Elephas maximus indicus: one gene and its partners. The protein of the gene in region 4 interacts with the protein of the main gene of each other region in a biochemical or structural test. Links are inferred from orthologs where the notes say so. Each region holds a gene or a part of one and is shown on either strand. Other genes may lie near its edges.

What was found.
Region 1: of the proteins of AKT1 (region 4) and MXD1, one has a biochemical effect on the other in vitro, tested with the Homo sapiens proteins (2 studies listed by BioGRID, with this or other methods). The link is inferred for Elephas maximus indicus from reciprocal best matches to the Homo sapiens genes AKT1 and MXD1.
Region 2: of the proteins of AKT1 (region 4) and MTOR, one has a biochemical effect on the other in vitro, tested with the Homo sapiens proteins (19 studies listed by BioGRID and IntAct, with this or other methods). The link is inferred for Elephas maximus indicus from reciprocal best matches to the Homo sapiens genes AKT1 and MTOR.
Region 3: of the proteins of AKT1 (region 4) and MAPKAP1, one has a biochemical effect on the other in vitro, tested with the Homo sapiens proteins (3 studies listed by BioGRID, with this or other methods). The link is inferred for Elephas maximus indicus from reciprocal best matches to the Homo sapiens genes AKT1 and MAPKAP1.

The regions. Positions count from the first base shown.
Region 1 is NC_064835.1:66,292,091-66,299,673, forward strand, and holds the start of MXD1 (max dimerization protein 1), read right to left. Parts: upstream 3,005-7,583; 5' UTR 2,761-3,004; coding exon 2,688-2,760; intron 1,971-2,687; coding exon 1,871-1,970; intron 1-1,870. UniProt on the Homo sapiens protein: Component of a transcriptional repressor complex together with MAX. In complex with MAX binds to the core DNA sequence 5'-CAC[GA]TG-3'. Antagonizes MYC transcriptional activity by competing with MYC for MAX binding.
Region 2 is NC_064821.1:51,095,389-51,102,851, forward strand, and holds the start of MTOR (serine/threonine-protein kinase mTOR), read right to left. Parts: upstream 3,004-7,463; 5' UTR 2,895-3,003; intron 2,870-2,894; exon of another isoform or gene 2,572-2,869; intron 504-2,571; 5' UTR 464-503; coding exon 302-463; intron 1-301. UniProt on the Homo sapiens protein: Serine/threonine protein kinase which is a central regulator of cellular metabolism, growth and survival in response to hormones, growth factors, nutrients, energy and stress signals.
Region 3 is NC_064827.1:76,668,944-76,675,777, reverse strand, and holds the start of MAPKAP1 (target of rapamycin complex 2 subunit MAPKAP1), read left to right. Parts: upstream 1-3,822; 5' UTR 3,823-4,062; intron 4,063-6,834. UniProt on the Homo sapiens protein: Component of the mechanistic target of rapamycin complex 2 (mTORC2), which transduces signals from growth factors to pathways involved in proliferation, cytoskeletal organization, lipogenesis and anabolic output.
Region 4 is NC_064828.1:119,089,308-119,097,177, reverse strand, and holds the start of AKT1 (RAC-alpha serine/threonine-protein kinase), read left to right. Parts: upstream 1-4,862; 5' UTR 4,863-4,967; intron 4,968-6,349; exon of another isoform or gene 6,350-7,253; intron 7,254-7,471; 5' UTR 7,472-7,554; coding exon 7,555-7,600; intron 7,601-7,870. UniProt on the Homo sapiens protein: AKT1 is one of 3 closely related serine/threonine-protein kinases (AKT1, AKT2 and AKT3) called the AKT kinase, and which regulate many processes including metabolism, proliferation, cell survival, growth and angiogenesis.

The DNA of each region.
Region 1 (7,583 bases), on a different chromosome or scaffold from region 4:
TCATTCCAAACACGTCACAAAGGAAGTGATCGCATTCAAACAAAACCTGCTCTTGCTGCATTTGTTTGCTTGGGTGCCATCTCCAGGTTTAATCATGGTCTCTCCGAGATCCCTGCACCATTGAAGATGTTACACTAACTATTAGCCAAGACTATGGACAATTGTGATTGTTTCTGTAGAAACAATCTAACCACGGAAAGCAAAGCAAGTTCATTAGCAAAATAGAGCTTCTGCAAAAATCAGGAGTTATGGCCATTTTTCATAAATAAACAATAATGTTGATTACTGGGTGGAGAAAAAAAGAAGAGAAGGAAAGGAAAGAAAAGAAAAGGAGGAATCCACTGGCTTGAAATTCACAACTATCATTTCTCTTCTCGAATCACCCTCTGGAATCAAGACACTTGTCTTCAACTAAGAATTCTCACTCCCCGCCACAACCTTCCTGTGAAACTCAGGAAAAACAAAATGTTCAGGTATTAAACCTGGACTATTAACATGCATAACTTCTCCCCAATAAGTGGACAATAAATAAACTATACTTTTCCAGAAAAATAAGCCAAAGGCCTCAAAAAGTTCTTCCAAACAACATTTAAAAAATTAATACTGTAACAAAACGCAACAAACTTAATTGTTTTTACACCATTCCATAATACAAGTCAGTATTCACAGTTTTCTTAAAGGGCGTCAGTACCCATGCGCAGAACCAGTAGCTACCACCTTCAGGTAACGTTAAAGATGGGAGGGCAAGGAAAAACTATCAGGTAATTACCACGTTCATCCTTTCTGTACTTTCTTATTCAAGAGCACAGCACACGTGTGCTGCACGTATCCTGTGTTCCACTAACCACACAAGGACAATGGGGGTGAACTAAGGACAAACAGGCAGCAGGAACAAATGAGTTTTAGGTTGAAGTGGGGACTTTCTGGCTTTTAGGAGTCTGTATCACAGAGGCTACCCAAATACAGTTAGGGGGAATAGAGGAGGATGAAGTTCTAAAGCAAGGATGAAAAAGTAGATTTTAATTTACTGGCATGAAAGGAATAATTGAAAGGATGTAATAAAACAGATTTCCTAGCCAACTAAAAATTTCAGGGCAAAGAGAGAAAGAAAGGGCGTAGCACTGAGGAAATACTTCTATGTGTCAGGAACTATGCTTAGGACTTAAATATGTGATTTCTCTGACCATTAACCAAGTACTTTACGGTGAGATTCAGAGCTTCTAAGAAATTTAGGGCAATTTACAAGGCTAACATGAAAGGGTTGTGGCATATTAATATTTTAATATTATATGTTCCTCCAACACCAAACAGGTAGGTTTTAACCTCAATAATTCCTCGTTGCCGTTATAAATAGATGTAACCAATTAGATTAACCAGGAAAGCACTGAATTTAATTTACATGTCAAATATGAAATCCTACCACCTATGCCAAGTCAGAACTTTCAGTCTGCTTATAAATGTTCACTATGAGAAGTAAAAGGAATTGATAATGTCCAGCTTTTTCAGACATAGTAAGCTTGCCCTGAATCTACAACTTCTGAAGGCAAAATATTGTCACTGCTGCTCATCTCACTTAAAGCTTCCACAGATTTTTGTTCCAAAGGGAATAAAGGCAAAAGTAAAACAAAAACGAAACATACACACACACACACACACACACACACACAAAACCACTGCTCATAAAGAAATGGGAAACATTTCCATTTCTCTTTTATTTTCAGTCCCCTCAATCCAAATAGAAGGGCTGCTTCCTCCAATGGCTTAAGACCAAGTGTGCATTACTGAATTAGGATCACCACTGAATGTATGTACAAGGTTATAATCACAACAGTATGATCTAAAAGAGAAAGAGAAATATTTACCAAATTACCTGCTACTGCTGTTATTCTTCTTGGATTTGTTCCTCCGTTTTAAGGCATCTCTGTCCTTTTTATCGTACGGTAACATGGAGGCATAACCATGTTCAGCTTCTAGAAAACCGGAGGATCCAGTTAATGAATGAGCCCAGAGCATTCAATACTCTCTCCCCTCCAGTCTCTCCTTTTTTAAATCTATTTTTTCTTTAAGAGTATTGTGGAAATAATTAAACGCAGCAAGGTGGAATTCTGTGAACAATGACTTTTTTTTTCATTGTGTTGAATGCCCTCAGTTTGGAGGTGTACGGAGGGATTCCAGCTGCTCATTGTTGAGAGAGACACAGCAAGTCGCTCCGCTCACCGAGCCCGGGTTTCCCATTCGCAGCGTCCAGCAGGTTGGCGTGTGTTAAGCGGGACCTGCCTCAGGTGAAGCTGCGGGGCAAACACGGGGTGCCGGGGGCAGGGCAGGCGCCCCCCCTCCGGCCGGGAGACTGGGCGCCAGGCCCGCTTGGGGGCCGGCCGGGGCGAGCCCGGGTGAGGGAAGGCAGGAGGTCCGGCTGAGGGGGCCGGGGCACCCCACTCGCAAGCGGGCGGAGGCGGCGCTCGGGACGCCCGGGGGCGGCGGCCCCTTTCCACCTCCATTCATCGCTTTGGGGCAGCCGCAGCCTCCCTCGGACCGCGCGTGGAGAGAGCTGGAGGGGTTGGGAGCGCTCGCGGTCGCGCTCTCCGCGCCTCCAACAACCCCCGGAGCGGCCGGGAGCCCCGACCGCGGACCGGCCCCTCAGGGTCCCCGGCCCGGACTTGGCTGGACCCGTTCCCGTCCCCGTGCACCTCTCTCCCGCCGCTCCAGGTAGTCGGCAGCCTCCAGCAGCAACTGGATATTCATCCGAACCACCGCCGCCATTCCGCACCGGGGGCCGGAGCCACGGGACCAACCCCCACTGCCCACGGGCTCGCCGCCGCCGCCGCCGCCGGACACCCGCGCCCCGCTGTGTGCCCCGTGGAACAGGGCTGAGGGAGCCTCTCTGGCGACCACGCTCGCTGGGAGAGAGAGGAGGCCAGTGAGCTGGGCGCCGCCGACACCGTGACAGAACCCGAAGATAAGCAGCAGCCGCCACCGCCGCGGAGTGTTTATCCCCGACTCACCATCCCCCCGCCCCCAGCCCCTGCTCTTGACAGGCCCGCTTCGGCTGCGTTCCTCATTGGACAGTCCAAAGAATGCCCCGCCCCTAGCCTTGCCCTATTGGGGGAAGGCAGTACGGCCCAGCCCCCCAAAGTCCGCTTCTCTCGTTGATTGGGCACGCTTGACAAGGCCCGGGCTCCACCCCCTCCCTCCAATTGGTGACAGGATTCGCAACTCCGCCTAGTGCTCCTTCCCTGTTTTCCATTGGTTCTATACCAACAACCAAGCCCCCTTTTGCTTTGTTAGTATTGGCCGAGAGCTACTGAAGGCACGCTACTTCACCTATTTTCTATTGGTGGAGCCTTCCGAAACCGCCCAACTACGATGACGTCACCTTTCTCCAGGCCCGGCGAGCCCTGAGTGGCTGGAGGTGAGAGACCTCCCTGGGTCTGGCAATGGTTTGGAGGGGCGAACCCGGGCGCTGGGCGCCGCTGACTCACCAGGCTGGTGGAGTCGGGCTCCACCCGGCCCCGCCTCGAACCTGTTGCCGGGCCTCGTCCCCGGGGAAAACTTCCGGCAGCTTGTCTGGGGTTCCCCGAGTGGAAGGCGCAGTGCGAGGCGCCTGGGCTCACAGCCCGGCTCGGGCTCGGGGCCGGGGTGCTGGGTCTGGCGGCCGCGGCCATGGAGGTGGCGGTTTCCCGGGACTTAGGTGGCCGAGGACCCCGCTGCAAATCTTCCTGACGGGAGAGCGGCGCCGGCAGCCTGGCGAGCGGCCGGTGGGTCCCTGGCCCCCGCGGCGCCACGTGGCTGTGGAGTTTGAGGGAAAAAGCCTGGCTCGGGTTAAATGCTCGCCGCCCAGCTTTTTTCTCTCCTCACAAAGCTGCGGTACACAGCACCCAAGCCCTCTCCAAAGGCAATTTTTTTTTTCTTCCGGGAAGTGATGGTATAATTAATTACTCCCTCATGCAAGTTGGTTTTAAAAAGTTCTTGTACCTACAAAATAACGTTGAACCCCGAGATTCTTTTAAATCTCTTTTTGGGTCTTTCCCTCCCTATTAATTCTAGATGAAACACTGAAGGGAATACTCCCTTTTGTGTGTTTGTGTGTGGCAGGGGCCAAACCCCTTGCTGTCCAGTCGATTCCCACTCATAGCAACCCTATAGGACAGGAGAATTGACCCCACAGGGTTCCCAAGCGGTGGCTGAACTGCTGACCTTTTGGTTAGACTTAACCACTCTGCCACCAGGATACGAGGATGGCCAAGTGGTTAAGCATTGAACTTAACACTCAGCGGATCAATGGTGGTACCAATAATAGACACACTTAATAGGATGTTAAATCTACATAACTAAAAAGTACTATTTAAGGACTGTTCCCTAAGCTTACCAAGATTTCTAGGATGAAATCTATCTCTAGACCCAAGTTACCAGGTTAATATACTGACATCTCCAACTTAAAAAGTAGGAGTTTTTGGTAAGTTGAGAGTCCTGAAAACAGAAATCAGTAAAGCATGATCATATTTCAGAAAGCTTCTTAAAAAAGTTTATTATTGTTGCCAGTATATGATAATAGCTTACTATGTGTCAAGTGATTTACCTACTTTATTTCTAATACTCAATATAACCCTATGAGTAAGATTGTGTTAATTATGAGTAAATTGCAGCTCAGAGAGGTTAAGTGAATGCTAGCCCTCCAGCAGGGGCTTCAGATCATCAGTTCCTTCGTTCAAACGCCTCCTGATAATTTGCATTTCTAGCAAGTTCCCTGCTGAGAATTTGCATTCCCCCCCAGATATACTGAATCAGAATCTACCTTTTAACAAATCTCCCCCCCCCCCGGTGATTCTTATGTATAACTTCTGGGGAATTTGTTAGAAATGTTCATTCTGGTTCCAAGCCCTGCAACCAGTCAGCCCCAGGGGGAACTGAACCTAAATCCCTCTCGCCCAGAGCCCATGCAACTGGTTGTACTAAAGACAAGACAGTTAAGAAACAGACAACCTGACTGAGTCACAAAACACCAACACTCAAACACTAGAGAAAGAGGAAGAAAAAGGTGAAAAGGTAATTACGATGAGAAATTTTTAACTTGTCATTTTTAGTGGTTGACAAATCCATTACAGTTAAATAAACTCGACAGAATAAGTAGACAGATGTGTAGTAAATCACACCTCACAAAAGGGAAATACATTTTCTGGTTTTGATAGTTAACTGGATCTAAAAGCTGCCTTTTTTTTATGAAAACAGTAAATACGCATACTGAAGAAAAAAGGGTTTTCAAGAAAGCACGAAACAATGTTGGAAATGAGTGAGAATTGAACAGTTTAAAGAGTTGTTTAACTGCATGCTTAATTGTAAAATATATTTAAAAATCAAGATGAAATGAATGCAATTCTACTCAAGTTCCAAAACTGACACTCTGATTTTCTTAACATTTTGGATTTTCTATACTTTTATATTTTTTCCCAATTTTATTATGGTCATTCAGCACATCTTTATTCTTTCTCTCTTACTCTCAACTCTTGATCTTAACCCAAGTCCTATTTCAATATTACTACCCTTCCCCTAGGAACCCTGGTGGCCCAGTAGTTAAAGCACTCGGCTGCTAACCAAATGGTCAGTGGTTTCCAAACCACCAGCCGCTCTGTGGAAGAAAGATGTGGCAGACTGCTTCTGCAAAGATTACAGCCTTGGAAAGTACAGCCAGTTCTCTCTGCCCTGTAGGGTCACTATGAGTCAGGATTGACTCAATGGCAGTGGGTTACTCTTCCCCTATGAATCCGTGGGTGGCACCCCAAGCCCACCCACAGTTGCCTTGGAAGACAGACCTAACAATCTGCTTCTGAAGGTGACAGCCTTGAAAACCTTATGGAGCAGTTCTACGCTGCACACATGGCATCATCATGAGTTGGAATCAACTTGAAGGCAACTAACAACCAGGGCTTCGAACTAATTCTTCCCAGTTCAGTAATGGCTGAGGAAGCTAAACTGGAATAAAACCTAATTTTTACAATTTGGGTGATCCGGAGTGATAACTGGAATGAGGGGAAAAAATGGTGGAAGCCCTGGAATGGGAGACTCGGAAGAGGCGTAGTAAGCCCTTTCAGGAGCCTGGTGCTTGAGACTGGATTATTGGCAAGACTGTGGAGAGCAATGCGGCCAGCCACCATCTTTAAGCACCATCTCCGTTACCTGGTAGCAGAAGAAATGATCAACTAGCCACCAATGCCAACCAGGAATTAGTATCATGAACTTCAAAGGGTATTTGGTGCCATCTACTGGACGTGAAGCAATAAGTATAAAATATTTTAGGTTTTATACTTGAAAGATTTTAGGTTTTTTTCCCTAAAATTTTACACAAATGTATATATTACAGTGGGAGCCTGGGTAGCACAGCGGTTAAGCGTCTGGCTCCTGACCAAAAGATCAGCAGTTCGAATCCATCCTTGGAAACCCTATGGGGCAGTTCTACTCTGTCCTATAGAACTGCTATTAGTTGGAATCGACTTGACTGCAATGGATGTTTTTTTTTTTTTTGGTTATATATAAAATGACCAGTTGATTAAGAAAACCCAAAAGTACAAGTTTTGAAGAAAGAACTGAAGATCCTGAGAAATAAAAGTTATGACCTCCTAGCACTTAGTGCCTCAGAGGCATTACGTAAGCATTGACTGATGGGCACAACCCCCAAAATAAAAGTTGTGAATTCTAGAACATTTGAAACTGAATTTTATGACCAGAATTTTAAATAAAAAGCTGTATATATTGGCAGAAACATAGAAGATCCTGGATGGCACAAATGGCTAAGTGCTCAGCTACTAGCCAAAAAGGTCGGCTGCTTGAACACACCCAGAGACACCTCAAAAGACAGGCCTGGCGATCTGGTGTCCAAAAGTCAGCCTTGAAAACCCTAAGGAGCAGTTCTACTCTACTCTGCACACATGCGGTTATCACAGGTGGGAATATACTCAACAGCAACTAACAACAATAGCAGAAACATGGGCTGGCAATAGCTTGTATCTTCAAGCACACATCAAGATAAACTAGTAGACTTGAGCAATGCAGCGGAAAACGGGGAAGCACAAAGATATAAGATATTATGTTTGTCAGTTAATCTTCATTGCATCTCTCAGAAAGCTAAGACCCAGTTCCCTGCCTTTGAGGGGCAAAGGGTAGCATGCCAAAAGGTAAATGCCAAAGCTGAAATGAGCAGCATGTTCATTAAATGCTATGGAAATTGACAGAGATGCCTCTTCAGTGAGTACCTCAGATTGGCAGGGAAGAAAACTGTCGTATTATAATCCTTAAATGTCTAAAAAGTTAAAAAAAAAAAAAACCTATTAACTGATTTTTCACTTCCTGAGCACTATGACATTAAAATAAATTTTGTTTATAAGTTTTTGAGGAATTTATCTTGTTCCTCATAGTGTAAAAATCAGGACTGGAAGTTTCTGCTTCAATAACATCAGTAACCCTTCTGTGGCTACTTTGCAACACTCCAGTATCATTATATCTGATATCATATTAAGTTTTAAAAATGGTGCCTTGCAAGAATTGGTCACTCCACAAATATCTGTGACTTTAAAAATAAGGCAAAGGCTAAA
Region 2 (7,463 bases), on a different chromosome or scaffold from region 4:
ACCAAATGGGTAACACCTGCCCCAAAACAAAGACAAGAAGGCAGGAAGGGACAGGAAAACCAGATGAATGGACACAGAGAACCTGGAGTAAGGGGAAACAGTGCTGACACATCGCAGGGATTGCCATGAAAGTCACAAAACAATCTGTGTACAAATTTTTGAATGAAGAGACTAATTTGGCTGTAAACTTTCACCTAAAACACAATAAAATTTTTTTTAAAAAAAAGGAACCTAAAACAGTGATGGTATATTTAGCTTGGATACCTCCCAGTGACTTGCCCCAAATCACAGAAGCCCCAACCTCTCGGAGTTCCATGGTGACATAGTGCTGGAGCTCCTTGGCAGCTTTGGCCCTGGTCTCCTCATTGCGGCTCTTCAGGCCACTGGCAAACTGCTGCAGAACGCTCACATTGCTGGATGTGGTGGTGGCCGTGGTGGCGGCGGCAGGTCCTGTTCCAAGCATCTTGCCCTGAGGTTCTTTGGAGAAAAGCTTCCTTTAGTATCTGGATAATGAACCATGACAATGAATTTATTGGCCCTTGTTCCTCAATACAGATTTCTACCCAGCTCATGTCAGGTGGAGAATTCAAAAAAGGTTGGGAGATCTAAGGAACACGTAGAAAGCCTAGAAAACATTCTTTCAACAGAGATTAACGTTTAAAAGAGCCAGCATAGCAAAATGGGTTGAACTGTGGGTTGTGGAGCCAGACTATCCGGGTTTGAATCCAGTTCCAAAGTTACATAACTTGAGGAAAATACTTAAAATCTCTCTCACTTTCCTCGACCACAATAAATATGAGGATAAAAACCCTGTGCCATCGAGTCCGTTCTGACTCATAGCGACCCTACAGGACAGAGGAGAACTGCTCCATATGGTTTCCAAGGAGTACCTGGGGGATGTGAACTGCCTACCTTTTGGTTAGTAGCTGTAGCTCTAAAGGATTAAATGAATTTTAAAAAGTGCTTAAAATAGTGCTAGGCACACAGTGAGTTTTCAATAATGGTTAACTATTGTTAACCATTATTGTTGTTGTTAGGTGCTGTCAAGTTGGTGCTAACTCATTGCAACCCAACGTACAACAGAAAGAAGCACTGCCCGGTCCTGTGCCATCCTCACAATCACTGTTATGCTTGAGCCCATTGTTGCAGCCACTGTGTCAATCCATCTCATTGAGGTTAACCATTATTACTACTATGTATACACATAAGAAGCCCTGGTGGCACAATAGTTAAGTGCTTAGCTGCTAACAGAAAGGATGGTGGTTCGAACTCATCCAGCAGCTCCATGGAGGAAAGACAATCTGCTTCCATTAAGATAAAAAAAGATACAGCCAAGAAAAACCCTATGGGGCAGTTCTACAGTCACATGGGGCACTACGGGTCGGAATCAACTCGAAGGCACCCAACAACTATGTACATGACTCAGTGGCAGGTACTAGAGGTGGGGAGAGAATACCAAATAACTGAGACTGCCCATTTCCTCAAGGAGTTCAATCTAAAGACAAAGACTGATTATTATGCTATAGCAGCGCTATCCAAAAGAAATATAATACAAGCCACAAACGTAATTTTAAACTTCCCAGTAACCATACTAAAAAAAGGTAAAAAGAAACTAGTGAAATTAATTTTAATAGCATATTTTATTTAACTCAATATATAAAATGCCATTTAAACATGTTATCAATATAAAAAATTGATACATTTTCCATTCTTTTTTTGCACTAAGTCTCCGAAATCTGGTGTGTATTTTACGCTCACAGCAATCTCGATTTGGTCTAGCCAATAGCCACATGCACAATTGGACAGTGCAGTCCTATAGAATACCAGCACCTCAAACGTGAGCTAAAAGAGCCACATTAGTTCTTGAGTTCATTCACTCATTCTTCAACTATTTACTGTCTCTTCCCCTCAGTGAGTTTACAATCCAGTGGGAAATACAAATAACCAGGCAACCAGAACAAAGTGGCCATACCACGGCTCAGTGCAGACTGCTATGGGAGTAACATGTACCCATCCTAGGTATCTCCAAATTATACTACAAAACCAATTACCAAAATTCTTATTTTAAGTGCCATTTGTGACCCACAGAGGAAAAGCAGAGAATAGTTGGTTTTCAAAAACTTTTAAATGCCCCAGTGCCAAGAAGACTGCAGAAGGAAATGTCATCTTTTACAGGAGAGGAAACCTAAGGATCCCTGATGAAAAAACCATTAAGGTGGGGAGGCGGGGGCGGGGGGAGGGGCTTGGCAAATAATTACCATCCTTAGGAAAGAACCAGTGTATCTTTGTATGGTCTGAGTCCCACAGGCTCTCTGCTCCAAGGTGAATTCAGTTAAATTACTCCAAGTCAGATGTTCTAAGGGTCTTAGTGAGGGCTTCAGGGAGCCCGTTAAAGTTGGGTGGCTGAAACTAGGGATGGCGGCGGGGGAGAGGCACGAAAGATGAAACCCAAGAAAATAACCGAATTCAGCCCCGTGGACTGGGACCCTGAGAGGTCTCCAGGGCGCAGTGCAAGGGGCTGACACTGAGGACGGTCCTCTCCGAGGCACAGGGTCCCCAGTTTGTATGTACCTTGGAAGAAAAAAGGGTGACTGTGACGGGCAGGGAGCCCCAAAAGGGCCTCGGCAGGACCGGAGCTGATGGGCCGGCCTCCGGAGAGCCTGCGACGAACGACAGGCTGAAGGGTCCGGGGACTCCTGGGGGCCCGGGAGGAGGTGGGCGTTACTCGCGGGGCGAGGGGTCAAGGGCCCAGGCGGCGCCAGGCTCGTGGGACTGTTACTGAGGGGACTCCACGTCCCCGACGGGCGGCTTCCCGGGGCCCCCACCGACCAGGTTGGCCTTGGGTCTGGACATACCGCCAACTTGGAGGGGTCGGTGCCAGGCCCCAGACTCACCGCGCGGCTTCGGCCAAGGCCTCAGCTGCCGCCGCCAGTGCCGGTACCGCAGCTTCAGACTCCCGACCCCACCACCCGCCTTCCCCGCTGTCCTCTAAGCCGGGCGGGAGAGAGGGTGGGCTCCCAGACCTAAGGACCAATTGAAAGGCGAAGTAAGAAGATTGGCTGGAATATAGACCAATAGTAACGAAGGCGAAATGACGCTTCAGGCCCGGCTTCTCCGGAGGGCGGGGACTGTTCAAATAGACAAACCATGCGGCCAGTGGCAGGAGAAAGGAGCCTACTGTCGGCTCTGGAGAGCCAATCGGTGGTGAGTTCACATCAGTCACTTCCATGCACACTTCCGGTGTATCGCTACTCTAATTCCCCTCTGCATCTGGGAAGCGGGCCAGCCGAGTCCGCTCTCTGGGTACCGCGGGATGGGAGGGATAGGTGGTAGGCAGGTTCGAGAGAGACTCGAGACCTCGCCCAGTGTAATTATGAAAGGAGCCTGTGGGCCTTGCCAAGGCCTTGTAATTACTGGACGTTAAGTTTAATATCCATTTGAAAATGTTTTTAGTTATACTTTCTCACTGCAAAAAATTTTTGGCTCACAGGATAATTCCCAAGAGATTACAGCCAATTTTTAATTCAATAAGGTATTGATAAGTAATTTTAAGGAGACTTGGTTGCGCAGTGGTTAAGATCGGCAGTTCGAATACACCAGCCCCTCCCTAGAAACCCTATGGGGCAGTTCTACCCTGTCCTCTAGGGTCGCTGAGTCAGAATTGACTCGATGGCAATGAGTTTAAATACTTTTAAAAGCAATATTGTTTTTTTTAATCCTCTAAACAATAGCAAAAAATGGAATTTCAGTGCATCTCTTCTTATTAAAAATTTCCAAATAGGTAATGTATTTACCATTCAAATTTCAAAATAAATAAAAATTATAACTTCTATATAGCTCCTGCTTCTGCCCCTTATTTTTTTAGGTCCTTGTGTGCAGCAAATGGTTTGCCCTCCCAGCTGAAAGGTCGGTGGTTCGAACCCACCTAGTGGCATTGAGGAATAGAAGCCTGGTGATCTGCTTCCATAAAGATTTCAGCCAAGAAGACACTATGGAGCAGTTCTACTCTAACACATGGGGGTCCCATGAATTGGAGTCCACTGGCGGCACACCACAACAGCAACAATATGTATCTTTCTAGAGTTTCTTTATGCAAATAAAGCAAATATGAATTTACATTTTCCTGTGTTTCTCCTTCCTTACACTGTATACGCTGTTCTGCACTTTTTAAATTTCAGTGTATCTTGGAGGTCTTTCCACGGTAGATATATAGAAAGCTGCTTTTTTATAGCTGTTTGGTATTCCATTATGCAGATATACCATAATTTGTTTTCGCAGTCCCCTGATAATAGACATTTGCTTTGTTTCCAACTTTTTGCCATTAAAAACAGTGCTTCAATGTATGCCCTTGTGCATATGTCATTTTGTCCTGGGGCAGGTATATCAAGGCAAATTCCCAGAAATGGGGTTGCAGGGCCAGGGCAAATTAATGCGTAGCTCTCACGGATATTGTCAGATTGCCCTCTATAAGGGAGATATTGTTGTCACTCCCACCAACAATATATGAGATTTTTACCACCCTAAGATGTGACAAGGAAACCCTGGTGGCGTAGTGGTTAAGTGCTACGGTTGCTAACCAAAGAGTCGGCAGTTCGAATCTTCCAGGTGCTCCTTGGAAATTCTATGGGGCGGTTCTACTCTGTCCTATAGGGTTGCTATGAGTCGGAATTGACTCGACGGCACTGGGTTTGGTTTTGGTTTTGGAAGATGTGACAAAGCTCTGTTTTCTAATTAACAATTAAAGGTGGTTTATAACAATAGTAATCAGCACATTTGTAGGTCTGTTGCCTGGTGGCACAGTGGTTAAGAGCTTGGCTGCTAACCAAAATGTCAGCAGTTCACATCTACCAGCCACTCCTTGGAAATCCTATGGGGCAGCTCTACTCTGTCCTATAGGGTCACTAAGGGTCGGAATTGACTCGATGGCAATGGTTCATTTTGTTTTGTTTTTTTCCTCATTTTACAAAGACCTTTCTTACCCGTTTCATTAAAATCTCTCTAGTTGCCATGGGGTTGATTCTGACAGCGACCCCATGTGTGTCAGAATAGAACTGTGCTCCATAAGGTTTTCAATGGCTGATTTTTTTTGGAAGTAGACCACCAGGCCTTTCCTCCGCGGTAACTCTGGATGGACTTCATCTGCCAACCTTTTGATTAGCAACCTAGCATGTTAACCATTTGCATCGCCCGAAAACTCATTGCCGTCAATAGGTTCTGACTCATAGCAACCCTATAGGACAGAGTAGAACACCCCCTCAGGGTGTCCAAAGAGCAGCTGATTGATTCACACTGTCGACCTTTTGGTTAGCAGCCGAGCTCTTAACCACTGCGCCACCACACACTTACTAACTGTATGAACCTGGGCAAGTTCTTAATCTCTATGTACCTATTTCCTTATCTGTAAAACAGGAATGATAATAGTACCTATCTCAGTAGCCAGTGTTATGGAGGTTAAATGCTAGTACGTGTCAAGTACCTACAAAAGTATCTGGCAGATGTGAACAGTTAGCAAATGCTGTGACTGTCATATTGTTTCCATTTTATACATGAGTAAGTACTAAAGTACAGAGAAGTTGAGCCATGGAGTTGATAAGTGATAGAGCCAGGTTTTTCTTATCTCTGCGTCTTTGCCTTGTCTGATTTGGCAGCACAGGACACTCAGGCTCAGCCAGCTTCAAAAGTCTGTGCTCAGCAGGGAACTTGCAAATATTTAACAACCAGCTCTGGGGGTGGGCGGTGATGTGTGCATATACAAGGCGAGCTTTTTGGGAGTGTGACCTGTGTAGTCATAATACTATGCGGTCACTGTCTTGAAATTCTTCATGATTTTTGAACAAGGGCCCCACATTTTTATTTTGCATTGAGCCACACAAATTACGTAGTCAGTCCTGTGTACTTACCTATTATATGTGTATTAGAAACTTTACCAATATAAAGGGTGTGTAGCACACAATTTACAAATAATAATAAAATATATGATGTTTTTATTGTAAATTCCATATAGCTAAATTGGTTTCACAGAAGGCCTTCACTGATATTGTGTAGCCTATCTATGGCTGCAGTTGATCAATGAGTAGTTTCAACATGAATGTTGGTTGATAGTTTGACGTGTCGAGAGATGTCAGAACTTTACTTGTCAGTGACTTCAGCGACCTCTTTGGTGAATAGTTTTCAGATACCGGAAGAATATTTCCTTAGATTTTTGGTCCTACTCACAATCCGAGGAGCCCTGATGGCGTAATGGTTAACCGCTTGCCTGCTGACTAAAAGGTCGGTGGTTTGAACCCATTCAGCGGCTCTGAGAGAGAAAAGACCTGGCGATCTGCTCCCGTAGAGATTACAGCCTAGAAAACTCGATGGGGCAGTTCTAGTCTGTCATATAGGGTCAGTGTGAACTGGAATCGACTGGACGGCATACAACAACAACCACATTCGCAGTGTAATGGCTACAGATTTCACATACTTTTAAATTTAATCTGCATTATTAACATTTTCTTTGTCACTTTAAAAAAAATTGTGCTTTAAGTGAAAGTTTACAAATCAAGTCAGTCTCTCATACAAAAACTTAGACACACCTTGCTATGTATTCCTAGCTGTTCACCCCCTAATGAGACAGCACACTCCTCTTCTCCACCCTGTATTCCCTGTGTCCGTTCAACCAGCTCCTGTTCCCCTCTGCCTTCACATCTCGCCTCCAAACAGGAGTTGCCCACATGGTCTCATGTGTCTACTTGAGCCGAGAAGCTCACTCCTCACCAGTCTCATTTTCTGTCTTACCGTCCAGTCCAATCCCTGTCTGAAGAGTTGGCTTCAGGAATGGTTCCAGTCTTGGGCTAACAAAGGGTCCAGGGACCATGATCTCTGGGGTCCCTCTTGTCTCAGTCAGACCACTAAGTCTGGTCTTTTTTATGAGAATTTGAGGTCTGCATCTCAGTGTTCTCCTGCTCCATCAAGGGTTCTCTGTTGTGTCCCCTGGCAGGGCAGTCATCGGTGGTAGCTGGACACCACCTAGTTCTTCCAGTCTGAAGCTGATGTTGCCTCTGATTTATGTGGCCCTTTCTGTCTTTTGGGCTCTTCTTTACCTTATGTCTTTGGTGTTCTTCATTCTCCTTTGCTCCAGGTGGGTTGAGACCAATTGATGTATCTTAGATGACCGCTTGCTAGTATTTAAGACCCCCACCTTTGTCACTTTTTTGGGGCCCTGGCGGCGCAGTGGTTGAACAGTCAGCTGCTAAACAAAAGGTTGGCATTTTAAGTCCACCAGCTGCTCCTTGGAAACCCTGTGGGGCAGTTCTACTCTGTCCCATAGGGTCACTAGGAGTTGCAATGGGTTTTTTGTTTGTTTGTTTTGGTTGGTCATTTTTTTAAAGTCTAGATAGTCAACAAAATAATTATTAAACATTCATTGATTTGTACGGTGTAAATACTTCTACCATAGCATATTTCAAGCTACCAATGGATGT
Region 3 (6,834 bases), on a different chromosome or scaffold from region 4:
GAGATAGGTCAGTGTACACTTTGCTTTTTAATACCACTTCTGTCCTCTGATACAATCCCTGACCCTTGGAGGCTCACATTGTCTAGTTGGCCTACCCTCTCTTCTCCTCATCTACCTATCTTCCCAACACTATCCTCCGTTGCAGAATGGCTTATTTCCTTTTCACTCCCATGTCTGGCCATTATCCTGGGGGCTTCAGAGGTTCATGTAGCTTCTTAATTCCTTTACCATCTCATCTTCAATGCTTTTTCCTCCACTCCAGGTCGGTCATGACCCTACTTTTACATGGCTCTTCATCTGGGATGATAACCTTTATCTTTCTGCCTTGTTCCATTGGTGTCTTAGTCATTTAGTGCTGCCATAACAGAAATACCACAAATGGATGGCTTAAACAAAGAGAAATTTATTTTCTCACAGTCTAGTGGGATACAAGTCCAAATTCAGGGCGTCAGCTCCAGGCGAAAGCTTTCTCTCTGTGTCAGCTCTGGAGGAAGATTCCTTGTCCTCAAACTTCCCCTGGTCAAGCAGCTTCTCAGGCACAGGGACCCCAGGTCCAAAGGACACGCTCTAAGTACACGACCTAAGTAAGGGTGGTGTTAAAATTCCACCCTAGTCCTTTCAACATAAAATTACAATCACAAAATGGAGGACAACCACACAATACTGGAAATCATGGCCTAACCAAGTTGACACATATTTTTGGGGGGACACAATTCAACCCATGACAATCAGTAACTCCCATTACACCTGTTCGGGAACCTTCAGTCCTTCCTGGAATTCTCTTACTCCCTACCCAGCATACATTCTGTGGCTCTGTTTTAAGCACTTTTAAAAGCGGAGGTCTTAAACTCCTTGACTACATAACACTTGTTGAGCAAAGCCCCTTTGTTGGATTAATCCAATTACTCACTCTTTGTGTATCTGTATCTTGACTACTCAAACTAGGTGTAGAAAAATCACACAAACCATCATATTAGTTCTGCCATAAATTCAGAGTCTCCAACCTCAACACTGTCCTTGAAATATTACCATATTTCCTTACATTCCAACTTGCTACAGTGACTATTTTAAACCCATAGTCAAACTTGACTGTGAGCTTTATGATGGCGGGTCCCTATGTAATTTTTTTCACCGTTGAATTCCCTGTGCCTAAGACTGGCCTAGGGAGCCCTGGTGGTGCAGTGGTTAAGTGCTCAGCTGCTAACCAAAAGGTGGTCAGTTCGAATCCACCAGCTGCCCCACAAGAGAAAGATGTGGCAGTCTGCTTCTGTAAATATTACAGCCTTGAAAACTCTATGGGGTGGTTCCTCTCTGTCCTATAGGGTCATTATGAGTCAGAATCAACTTGACGGCAATGGGTTTAGTCTTTTGGTTTTAGGACAGGCTTAATACATAATAAGCACTCAGTAAGTACGTGTTAATTGACTGACATAGTAATAGTGGTAAGCATTCAGCAAATGTTTGCTGTGTGCCAGGCTCCATTCTACATGAGTTGTATGCATTAACTCACTTAAATTCTCCCAATGACCCAATGAGGTTAGTTAGAACTTTTGTCATTCCCATTTTACAGATAAGGAAATATAGAGAGGCAATTTGGAGAGATGAAGTTACAAAACTTGTAAGTGGTAGGGTTTATATGTTATTTAGAACATATAAATGCTTAATAAAAAAAAAATAGATCCAGTTAATTTCAGTTTTAGACAGGTTGAGCATTAGGTGTGTGAGGGACAATCAGGCACTATGCTTCAGGCTCAAGAGAGAGGTGAAAGTGGAGATTAAGATTTAGTAGGGTGTAGTATGTGCATGGAGTCCCTGCCGTGATACAAATGACACATTCAGCTCTGATAGGTTGGCAGTTGGAGTCTACTCAAAGGATCCTGGGAAGAAAGTCATGGAGATCTACTTCTAAAAAATTGATCATTGAAAACCCCATGAAGCACAGTTCTACTCTGACAAACATGGGGTAGGCCTGAGTTTGAAATCGACTGACGTAACTGGTGGATGATGTCCATGGTGTTGAAAACTGCTGGAGCACATACGTAAGCCAAATATTTCGCCTTTTACACAGCTGTTACTTTGGCAGAGCGCTCCAACAGGCTTCCAACGAAACTGTGGTAGTGTGTGTGCAGAAGCCCTCTCTTGCCTTGCATCTAGGTGCTAAGGTGAATTTTGAGAGGGACTTTCTAGACCATCTCTCAGGTAGGACAACACCATCATTGTAATGCTTGAGTCTTTTTTTCCCCCTTAGCATTGCTTCTCCCACTGATTCTCCCTGAGAGTAAGACATCATAAATACTTGGTACCAGTTCCCTTACATCTCACCAAAACATTCCAGTGGTTCTTGAGGGAGGTAATTATCATCTCCAATTTGTAGATAGTTAGAGTAATAATTATAAGGAGCCCTGGTGGCACAATAGTCAAATGCTTGGCAGCAAAGTGAAAGATTGGTGGTTATGGGAAAAAAGACCTGGGGATCTGTTCCTGTAAAGATTACAGCCTAGGAAACCCTACGAAGGAGTTCTACTGTGTATATAGGGTCGTTATGAGTCAAATCAACTTGATGCTACCCAAAAACAACAAAGAGTAATAACTAAGATTTATTGAGCATTTGGAAACCCTAGTGGCATAGTGGTTAAGAGCTACTGTTGCTAACCAAAATGTCGGCAGTTTGAATCCACCAGGCACTGAAGCAGGCAGTCATGAAAGAGTTATTAACCATCCCATAATAGTTGTTTTTCAGAAAAGTCTACTCTTGCTACATTTTTGTTACATCTTTTACGGCACTTCCCCATGATTGGTTAAATGCCTAGGTTTCTTCTGTTCTGGGAGGAGGCCAAGGCGCAGACAAACTGACTCTGAATGTACCTTCTATGAGGTCTTCGCGGGGTGGCAGCAGCAAGCGACCGCTGTTTTTTTAGGGCTGTGCAGAATGTTATTTAGAGCCATGCGCAAGAACTCATTGACTAAAACTATGCCCACTGTTCACGCATCACGAGACTGAAGATACTACCCCTACTGTTCATGTATATGTATGTCACTCCCTATAAAAGGAGCAATCTGCCCTGGTTCAGGGAGCTGGCGGCCACAGGTCGGGAAGCTGCCTGCTTTCAGGTTTGCAAACTGCGAATAAATTTTTGTGTTTTTCCAAGCCTGCGTCAATTCACTAGTCTGCTCGATAAAAACCTCTAAGTTGATTACTTCAGCACTCTATGGGATGGTTCTACTCTGTTCCATAAGGCCACTATGAGTCTGAATTGACTTGATGGTAGGTAGTTTTGTTTTTGTTGTTTACTGAACATTTATTATGCGTCAGGTACTGTGGTGAGTGTTTTTAGGCCTGATCCTCTCCAATTCTCACACCAATTCTCTTTAGTTGGAACCAGTTATAGATGGGAAAACCGCGGCTCAGGGAGGGTAGGTGTCTTGTCCTAGGACATCCAGTAAACTGGCATTTGAACCCCGGTCTTTTTGATCCAGACGCTAAACTGCCTCATCACTGATACATTTGTGGATAACTTCAGGGCTCTCCTCTGTGGAAGAAGGGAGGAAGGAGGATATTTGAAGGGGGATGCTAAGGTTGATTTAAGTTGAAAGTAAGTCCGGACGCTGACGGAGCCTCCCAAAACTCCAAACCGACCCCCCACTCTCTTACAGTCTATTCTCCCCAGCCGAAGAAGCGACGCGCACGCGCACACCCTCTCGCCTGGCTCCGCCTCCCGGGGGGCGCCGTTCCTAGCTCTCGGCTCTGGGGCTTGCGCACTCCATTCCCAGCCGGCAGCGCCTTCCCGGCGGGGGACTTCCGGTGAGCCTGGGTGTGGTTCCGGGTCGTGGCGCGGTTCGGGGCAACAGGGGTGCTGCTCGGCGAGCCGGCGGCGGCGACCAGCGGGGGAATGAGGGCGAGCCTGGGAAGTGGCAGCTGAGCGGTCCGGGAGGAGCGCCAGTCTCCGAGGATTCCAAGAGTTCGGAACTTGGGGCAGGGGCCGGGAGGCGCGGGGGAGCTGGGCCCTCTCTCAGCAACGTGTCCCGGGGCCGGCCCGGCCCGCAGTTTGGAAGCAGCTTCAGGTAAAGGTTGCCTCAGCAGCTGGCTCACTCGCTCGCCTCCCAGCCCACCTCCGGGGCCTGGTGCCTCCCTTCACTCCGCGCTCAGCTCTGCACGGGGGGCAGCCCATCAGGCCGGTGCTCATGTCGCCGGACAGTACCGGTTTCCTGGCTTTTTCCAGAGCTGGAGGCTGCCGTGAGCCTGACAGCTGTGTGTGTGATTTGGGGGAGGAGAGGCTAGTGGACCTGGTGGTGGTGGTGGTGGGGGTATGCCAATTATCCAGTAGTTTCTGGCCCTCTACTCGGCAGCACCTAGGTACCTTGATCTTCATAATCGGAAAATTAAGTTTTAAAAGCGTTGCCTGGGTGGTTCTTGTTTATTAACGCATCTTCTCCCTCGTTCTTCCAAAGAGCCCGGGAGACTCACGAACCGTTTTTTCCAGTAAGAATGCTGCTAAAACTTTTGTTCAATTTTTCATTTATGGCAATGGTAAGGAGGCTCCTAGATCTGTTTAAGGCTTAAAAAACAAACAAACAAAAAATGATTGTAGCTTAGACAAGAATTTTACTTCAGCTGGAGACCCAAAAGTTGGTTCAGAAACTGATTAAAATCTCATACTGAATGAATGCAAGTAGTTTTTGAAGCTTATCGTGTACCTGGTCCAGTACAAAGCACCGTGTTGTTTTAAACCAAAATCAGCAAAGTCCAAAACATCCCAGGTGTGCACAGAGTCAAACAGGGAGACACGTGACTACACACATCAGTTTAAAAAAAACAAAACATTCCATTTTTGATACAGTTGGGGAGAATCTCTAATGTTAAAACCCACTAGAGCAGGAAACAAGGCACCGTATTTTATTTTTCAGAGCCTATGAAGATGCTCACTAGATGTTTTGCTGAAAGAGTTCTTGATGAAGCATTTATAATGTTTTTCATCTCTTTCAGTTTACACAACTGCAGGCTTGCTGGGACCTATGCGGCCCCTTTCCCATTCAGCTTTGCCCTCATACCTACCTTTAGCTACTGTGTATGCCAGTATGCTCACGTTCCTTCACACCTGGTCTAACTTGTAGCTACCTTTTCAGCTACGCTTGACACACATTTGTGAAGACTTCGTATTTTTAAGGAGCCGTGGTGGCACAGTGGTTAAAGCGATCGACTGCCAACCCAAAGGTTGGCAGTTCAAAACAGCCAGCGGCTCGATGGGAGAAGGATGTAGCAGTTTGCTTCCGTAGAGATTTACAGCCTCCGAAACCTTACGGGGTTCGATGGCAGTGGGTTTTTGGTTTGGATTTCTTTAAGTACTCCACCCTGATCTATTACCCTAGACAAGTAGGATCTCAAATCCGTTTTGTTCTTCCTGTGTTGCTTTTTGTGGGACATTTTCTCTGCCTAGAAGGTTTGTCTTGTTCTAGTTCTACCTGTTGAGATGCTACCCACAGTCTAGCTGAAGTTGGCCTACCTCAGCCATTCTGGGACAGCTTCAGGTAGAACTGATTTTTTCTCTAGACTCCTATAAACACTCATTATTATGTCTACAATTATTTCACTTAGCAAGCATTTATTGAGTGTGGATATATACTAGGCACCATGCTAGACATGGGAAATGTGGAGATAAATAAGACTCATTCTTTGCCCTCAAGGAGCTCAACTTAAAGAAATCAATAATTCCAACACAGTGATAAGTACTGTGTGAGAGTTAAATTTGTGATACAGTGGTGGCACAGAAGGAGGGGGTCATTATCTCTTTTGAGGGGTTATGGTCAGGGAATGCTTTATAGTATGGGATAAACGAAGCTTTATTGAGTATTTACCATGTACTGGGTATTATATAAAGGAACCCTGGTGGTGCAGTAGCTAAAGTGCTCAGCTGGTAACTGAAAGGGAGAAAGATGTATCAGTCTGCTTCCGTAAAAATTTACAGCCTTGGAAACCCTGTGGGGCAGTTCTACCCTGTCCTATAGGGTCATGAGTTGGAATCAACTTGATGGCAGTAGGTTTGGTTTGGTTTTGGTATTGTACATAAGTTTCTCTTGTTTAATCATGTTACAGTTAAACGTCAATTGACAGATTAGGAAGACGCAGGGTAAATTACACAGCTGCCACGTGACAGAGCCAGAATTCATACCTGGGTTCATCTGATGCCTAGATCTGTGATTTTTCCATTACATGCTTTGCCTTCTTTCTCACGCCAGAGCTCTCTTTGTACAGGTACATAATGAAATAACTCTACAAGAGAAAAAAATATGAGTGTCAAAATGAATGATACAGAAAGTTCTTTAAACGAATAGAGAAGATGGTGATCTTTCAAAGGTAGGAGATGGTAGATGGGTTAGCTTAATTTTTGAATATGACCTGAGAAGACATTCCATGGACTGTATTTAATTCCTGACCCCTATTCTTACTAGATATGTGAACTTTGACAAATTTTTTAACTCCCCATATCATTTTTCTCAACTATAGAGTGTTTGGAATTATATTGATCTCATGGGGTGTTGTGAATATCTAATCAGCTAATGTGTAGAAAAACCTGTTGCCGTTGAGTCGATTCTGACTCATAGTGACCCTATAGGACAGAGTAGAAATGCCCCATAAGATTCCAAGAAGTGGCTAGATTCAACTGTTGACCTTTTGGTTAGCAGCCTGAGCTTTTTTGACATACTTATTTTATTGTACTTTAGGTAAAGGTTTATAGAACAAATTAGTTTCTCATTAAACAGTGAACATACTGTTTTATGACATTGGTTAACAACCCCATGACATGTCAGCACTCTCCCTTCTCAACTTTGGGTTCC
Region 4 (7,870 bases):
GGGGGCGCGGGGGGCGGGGCGGGGGTCGCGGGGCCCGGGGTGCAGGGCGCGTCCCCCCAGCCGCTCGCCCCGCCCCGGAGGGAGAGGACTCGAGGCCGGGGCTAGAGGGGGCGGACCCAGGCGACTTCCCGGAGCGGCGGAACCGCTGAGGTCACCTCGCCGCCCCTTCCCTGCCCGCCCCCCTGCCGCCCCGCCCGGATGGGGCCCGCGGGGCGGGGGCGGGGCGCGGCGGGGAGGGGACCCTCTCGCGATACTTGCCGCCTCGGCCTCGTGTCGCCCTGAGGTCCTGGCCGCGCCCGGCCGCAAAGGGTCCCCCTCCGAGGGCCATCCCCTCCCCCAGTCCGCTCTGGGACAGTCACCCGAGGGCGCAGCCCGGACCGCAGCCTCCTGGCAGCACGCGGGGAGCCAGGGCTGGGATCGGGGAGGGGGCGCGTGGGGGGCAGGGCTGTAAACTGAAACGACTTCATCCCTTCGTGGGAAGTCTTCTTGTGAATTTATGTCATCTCAGGTGGGACACTCGTCCGCACACTCACGTGGGATCTCGACCTTGGCGGCCCAGAGCATGGACACCCACCCCGCAGCAGGTCCTAGCGAGCCTCTACTGCTGCCAAGGCGGCATGGGGTACAGGACACGTCCCAGCAAAACGGGGTGGGGTGGAATCGGAGGGAGGCCCTAGCGCCTTGGAAGCCCAGGGCAGGCAGGAAAGTCTGGGGGGTGGGGAGTGGCAGCCGCGGGAGGGAGTCGGCACCCAGGGGGCTGGGCGTTCCAGGTGGGAGGAGCCGGCGTGAAGGTGTGAGAGACACCCGGGTCTGTGGGAGATGGAAACCCCCACAGAAAAGGGTGGGGGTTGAAGAGGTTGGGGTCCCACTGGGAGGTGCTGCTGGTCAAGGACCTGACCAGGAGTGCCCTCGACCGGACCCATTTGGAGGCACCGGCTAAGCTGTCTGTCCCCACCACTCATGTCATTCTCGAGATCACTCAATCCTGTGCTCGTCCAACTCCGGTTTTGGTGGGAGGTTAGGTGAGGGGCCCAGGGCCACACAGTGGAGGGGAAGCCCCAAACCATGGTTCTAATCTGGGCAGCCTGGTTCTGAGTCCCACTCTGCACTTCATGGAGCCCAGGAGGTGAAGAGGGTGGTGTGGTTATCCAGACCCGGGTAGGGGCTGCGCTGGAGGAGGGACCAGGTTAGAAGGATGGACCCCCGCCCAGTGGATCTGGGGAGAGGAAGTAGTGGGAGAAGTCAGGAGCCTGGGGGGATGAGGTGAACAGCTGTGATTTGTGGACCCGCCAGGAGGGACCAGAGCAAGGGGAGGGGTCTGGTTGGAAGCCAGTGGTTTGGGGGCCTGAGGGGCTCTGGGACTCAGCAATGTGATAGACCTGAGTGCGGTTTTTATCTCCTGTGTGTGGAAAGAAAGCACAAACTTGTACTAAAACTCTGAACTTAAAATCCGTCCCAGTGGCCTGTGTTTTTATGTGCTAAATCTGGCAGCTGTAGCTTCCAACCCTGGAGTCACTTGCCCGAAAGAGCAGAGGGGCAGCAGTGCCCTGGCCCCATCGCCCTCCAGTCTGGGGACACCTCCCTCAGTCCGTTGAAATAGCCCTGCCCCCTGCCTCAGCCTTCAGCAGGAAGAGCTGAATTCAAAGTCAAGTTCAGAGTGGGACAAGCCTACCTCTGCGCCACCGGGCCTGGGATAAGACCCTTGGAAGCTCTTTGAATCTGCCAAATGGGAATGAGTGCCCCTCAGGGGGTCTTTGTGCAGATTAAATGCCTTGCGAGGCAGGTAGCAGGCTCTTCCAGAAGGTTGTTCCCCAGTTAGTCCTTCCTGGCTCTTCAGTGGTCTGTATTCCCATGTCATCTCCTGCTGGTTGAGATCAACCTCCCCAGCGCCGGTCTGCACTGCCCATCCCTCTGCCTTGGTCTTCTTTGGGGACTTCATGTCATGGATCTGTACATCTGTGGTCTCCTGTTCCCCTGCCCGCTGAAAGGTACCATTTTGTTCACTGTCAAATCTCTCCCTGGTGTGGAGATTGTGGCTCCTGGCCACCTTGCCTGTGCTGCTTCCTTTGGCCCTCGCCCCTGTGCCCAAGGGGGAGGAGGGAGGCCCCTCTACGGGGCTCTGACAGCCCCTCTTCAGGCCTGGGAGTGAGGCCCTGGGGTGGGGTGGGGGCGAGCTGAGCAGGACAAGGAGCTCCTTTGGGACCTGACGGGTTGTGGGGTGCGGGGCGGGGAGGTCAAGGCAGGTGGGGACCTGCCTGCAGGAACCCTGGGCTGGGTTGGAGGAGGCAAGGACTTTACTGATTAGGGGAGAGTGGGAGAGAAGCCCGGCATGCTGAAAGTCTGAGTTCAAAGCCCCCGTAGTGGGGGAGGGACTGTCCAAGAAGTCCAGGTGTCAAGGCTACCACCATGTGCCCCATGGGCATCAGGTACCCGCTGGCCTTGGACCTCGGATCCTTTCCCAGGTGGGTGAGGTCCGGGCATGACAGGAGGCCGAGAACCCCAGTCAGTGGTCAGTGGGCGGCCCAGGCAGAGCCTCCTGAGACGCAACGCGCAGGCTGGGCCACCATCTGGCCTGGGGACTGCCCAGAGGCCCCGCCCTGCAGCTGCCACCAAGACTAGCAGCAGCCTGGCTGCCTGCCCCGCGAGGTGCCCCCTGACGGCCAGCAGCTGCAGGGGTGACAGGGCAGGAGGCCTGCTCTGGGAGGGGCAGGTGGAGTGTCCTCCAGAGGGGAGGGTGTGAGGCAGTTCTTGATGGAAACATCTGGCCAAGGAGCCCTAGGTGGCCTGGCAGTGGCCAGTGGAGTTAGACGGAGCTTTGCTCTCTTGTTGTAATTGGGGAGGGGGCCGTCCTTCCCTCGAGGAGGCCAGAGGAGGTGGGACTGGCCTGCCTGCTGGAGTGCCAAGTCATGGGGGAGACAGGCCCAGGCAGAGGTGCACATGAGCTGGGGCAGTGCTCAGGGCTGGAACAGGCGGGAGGCCTCTTGGGGCCCCACCAGCCGCTGGGATATTGTGGATCCCTGTGATGAAGCCATTTCCCAAATGGCCAGTGGATGAGTGGCCTGAGGAATCACACCTCTTCCGCGACAGGGCACCCTCCTGCCCTGGCAGTGCTTACCTGGCCTGCCCAGGCTCAGCGGGTTCCCCTCCTCCACCTCTGCTGAGCCCCGAGGGGGTGAGGGGACAGGTAGGACGTTCCTCCTGAGATGGGGAGCAGTGTCCAGGTGGGACAGAGGAACCTAGGGGACCACATGAGTGTTTGTTGGGTGAATGGTGAGTGATGGACAGACGTGGGACCCGCCGGCTCTGGGGGATCCTTGGTCAGCATCCAGCCCAGGCAACAGAGACCTATGACTTGGGCCCCTGGATGCAGGGCCCTGCCCGGAGTCTACATGGTCTGAGCTGGGACAGCTGTACTGGGGGGAAGGGGGAAGAGGGAGGGTCGGAGGTGCTAAGGGGAGAGGCTGGGAGCTGGGAGCCCCCTGCCCTTCTCTGAGGGGCGTCCTACCCTTGTCCAGCCCCGAGGGGCAGGGGTGGATCCATATCTCTGCTGTGGACAGAGCCTCGTCCCGGGCACACGGCTGGCTACACCTGGCTGCAGGTGAGCCTCTGGCCAGAGTGAGTGTCCACACCTCCCTCCAGCCCGGGCTGAACTCTGACCCTGGATGAAAAACAAAAATGACCCCCCCCCACCCAAATACTTACCACCCCTGATGGTGGCTCCTAAGAGTCTTCCTTTCACAAAAGGGTTGTTATCGACTGGAGGCCTCGGGGTGGGGAGTCAGTTGGAGAAACTGGCCCAGAGAACAAGTGTCTGCAGGTGAGTCATCCAGGTGTTCCCAGTCTGCGGGGAGGGGGCTTGGGCCCCAAGGCATAGGACACTACACGGGGCCCCCCTCTGGGCTGTGAGCCATCCCAACCATCACAGCCCTTCTCTTGAGTCTGTACCCCCTTCACCACAAGAGCCCCAGTTCCTCTGGGTGTCTGCCTCCAGCTCAGGACCGGGTGGCCAGACAGGTATGAGGAATGAAGCCCATGAGCTGGGAGGTGCTGGTTGGATGTCCTCTATCTGGGCCCTGAGACCCCTTTTCTCCCCTGTCACCACGCAGAACCCCCTCCTTCATTCCCTTTTGGAACTACCCGCTTCAGTCTCTTCCTCCTAGGGGGGCTGCTGGAAGCCCCTTGTAGGCACTGAGGGCCTGGCTCCGGTTAATGGAGGCCCAGATCATGGCCAGGGGCACGGTGGGCCTTCAACACACAGGAATGTCAGCCTCCCCCCAAAGCCTGTCCAAACTCCAGCCCGCATTCAAGGCCCGCCTCAAACAGGACTTCCTGGGGCCCCCATCCCGCTGGACAGGGCTGCTGGAACGGGGCCTCTCTGGACATTCTTGTCCCCCCTTCAGGGTGGGGCTGGGCCCGAGGGCACCGCTGACAGTCAAACCGACGCCCCCCACGGAGGCAGATCCCCAGGATTCGTCCCTGACCTTCCTCCCCCGCCCGTCCTAACAGGGTCATGGCAGTTCCGGGCCGGGAAGTGCGGGCGCACTTTGCAAACAGGGAAACTGAGGTCGGAAGGACGGTGCCGGAGAGGCTGGCCCCGCAGCGGGCGCCGGAGGGCTGCTTCCTCGGCCGGGCGCGCTGGGGCGGCCGGCGGGGGCGGCGGAGGCGGATGTGGGCGGGCGGCTCCGGGAGGCGCGGGGCGGGGAGAGGGCGGGTCGCGGCGCGGGCGGCGGTAGGACCGAGCGCGGCGGGCGGCCCGGCCCAGCGCACAGCCCGGAGCACCGAGCGGCCGGAGCACCGAGCCCGCGGCGGCTCCGCGAGGCCGCCAGCACAGCGCCGCCCGCCCGCGGCCGCGGCCCCAGCCCGGACCTGCCCCGCGCCGGGCCGCGGCGGGCGGGGATGCGGAGCGGCGGGCGCCGGAGGCCGCGGCCCGGCTAGGCCCCGCTCGCTGGCGCCCGACGCGCGGCCCGGTGAGTCCCGCCGCGGCCCGGATGCGCCCCGCGCGGGGCTTTGTTCGCGCCGGCGGGCGGGCGGGCGGGCCGGAACGGCGCGGAGCAGGAAGTGGCCGGGAGCGCGCGGCCTGGCGCGGAGGGCGCGGGGCGGCCGGGAGGGAGGCGCCCACGCCGGCCCGGGGCGCGGGCCGGGTCCCCGCATGACCTTGGGGCCGGGCCGGGCCGGGAGAGGGGGCCCGCCTGCGCGGCCGGGGGTCGGGGCGCGGGGCTCTGGGCGCGCGGCCAGCAGGCGCGACGCGCAGCGGGGGCGCAGGCGGCCTGGGGGAAGGTTCGGCCCGCCGCCGCGTCCGCGTCTGTGGGTGGGCCGCGGGAAGAAGGGCTCGTTTTCCCAGAGACAAAGTTGCCCGTGGTGGCCGGGTGCCCAGGCCAGCCCACAAAGGCTCCTAACCTCTCCCGGGCCCGACCTTCCCTCCAGGCCCCGGACCGGCTTCCTGTCCCGAGTGGGTGCGGGGGCACTGCCCACCCATCCCAGGGCCGGGCCTGGAGGGCAACTGGGGCTTGTCGCCTCACATTGGGGCTCCCTGAGGGAGCTGGGCATCTTCCTCCTGGCTCTGAGTGCTGCCCTCCTGGGCAGGGCGGGGGCTGTGCTCCGTGGCCTCAGGGCCCCCACATTTACTCCGCGCGGGGGGCCCCAGCCTTGCTCCAAGTGGCCGCTGTTGACTGATCTGAGCCCCTGGTCCACGTGTAGGGCGGGTGCTGCAGTGGGGGCTTGGTTCCCCGCCCCCCAGCTGAACACACAGTTCAAAACCTAGCATTCTCTGGCGGGGCAGGGGGAGCCTCTTCCTAGCCCAGGTTGTTTTTTTTTTAAAGTGTGACTTAAACAATAACAACAGCAGTAGCAATAACACGGCTTCCCTGAGACAGTCGCGGCAGCACATGTATGGTGGATCCCTCCGCCCGCTGGCCTGGCTCAGAGCTGTCCGGTGGCTGGTTTGGGGCGCACATTCTCAGTGTCGACACACCACCCTGTGAGTGCACAGATGTATTTTTACACACTGGAGCCCCGAGCTCTCAGCAGCTGTCTGACTTTGTCAGCACAGGCCCTGGGGCCGGCTCCCTTCGGGGCTCAGGCGCAAGGCGGGCACGGAGAGGTCTTTGAGTCCAGCCCCTGCCTCCAGGCCATGCCCCCTCCGGTCCGAGATCCCTAGCCGTGGGTTTCATAGAGCCGTTTGTGCCCCTCCTCTTTCCTGGTCATATCTTTATCAGCCTCTCTTCTGAGCACCGCAGGTGGACCTGCTGAGTCCCAGCAGCTACTGCTCAGATGGATGGAGGGCGGGGGGGTGGGGGTGGGGGTGGGGGTGGCTTCTCTGCCCTGATATCACATGGCATGAGGTTTTTTTTTGCTGTTTTCAATTTAGCTTAAGACAATCAGTGCAAAGCTACCAGGCCCTGCCGTGGGGTGAGCTGGTGCCCAAGTGGGGATCAGTTCCATAGAGGTCCTCTGCCCAGCCTGGTGGTCCCTGAGGAGTCTCCCAGGCCCACTTTGGGAGTGCCCATCTGGAAGGGTAGCAGAGGACTGCTCACAGGACGATCGTGTCAAGTGCCCTTTCCTGGGATGCCCAGAGTGGGTGACGTGGGAGCTGGGTTTTGAGGGATGCCTAGGAGTTCGTCCAACAGGGGTGAGGGGGGAGGGGGGAGAGCATGCAGGATCAATGGCTGAAGTGTCTACTCCAGTGAGGTCTGGCTGGTGGGCTGCTGTGGATGGGCGCCAGTGCCACTGCTGTTTGTGCAGTCCCCCCACCCCCCTATTTGTTGCCTCCTGAATGCTATAATTATGGGTCTGTAACCACCCTGGACTGGGTGCTCCTTGCCGACAGGGTCTGTCTGAACCTCTCTTTGTCCCAAGCCCCAGCACTGGGCCTGGCAAAACCAGAGATGCCTGGTACCTGGCGACAGGATGAATGAGCCAGATTCAGACGGACAGGAGCGTTGTGGTTTAGGAGGGGCCTGGGGGTTTTCAGGGGAGGTTTTCCATGTCTCCTGGGGCAGCTCTGGGCTCTCATTTTCACAAGTTGCCTGCACTCCTGGCCCTGCCTTTGTTACGTTTGACCTTTTCTCCTTTCCAGGTCTCAGGGACAGGGAGGAGGGGCCCTGTGCCCTGCCCCAGGGACCCCAGCCTGTGGGCAGAAACCCCATGGGCCAGGAGAACAGACAGGGTACCCGTGATCAGGGGCTTGGGGAGGCATGGGCTGAAGCAGTCCGAAGGGCTGCCTGGAGGAGGCGACCTCTCAGCTGGGTTGGCAGGTTAGGGAAGCTGGATAAGCCAGAGGGCCTTTGGGAGATGGGAGTGATTTGTACAAGGGCCAGGGGAGGTGGGGGCAACAGAGGGGACGGTGGTGGGGGGATGGCAGTGGGGTCTGATCTTCAAGAAGGGTGGGTCAGGCTGGCGGGCAAGAGATGAGCCAGCTGCTGAGATCACGGGGACAGAGGAGCCGGCCTCACGCAGGTCCCTTGTCTTGCAGTGGCTGTGGGCACCGCCAGGGCTTGGAGACCTGCCTAGGAGGAGCAGCTGAGTGTCGTGGGGTCCCCACCGGAGCCCAGCACCATGAACGACGTGGCCATTGTGAAGGAGGGGTGGCTGCACAAGAGAGGTCAGTACACCCCCTGTGGGGCTGGGGGCTATGCGTGCCCTGGGGGCTGGGGTTGGAAGGCACCATGGGTGGCACGTGATGCCTGGGGATTGAGGGGCTCCTCCCCAGGGATTGTCCTGGGCCCAGCTTAGCGTGTCGGCATGGAGGGCCCAGCCGGAGATGAGGGGCAGTGAGGCCCCACTTAGCGTGTAGCCGGAGAGGGCGGCCTCTGAGTGGCGTCCTGGCTGGGGCATGGGGTGGGAGAGCTGCTGCCAGCTTGCCTCCTGGCAT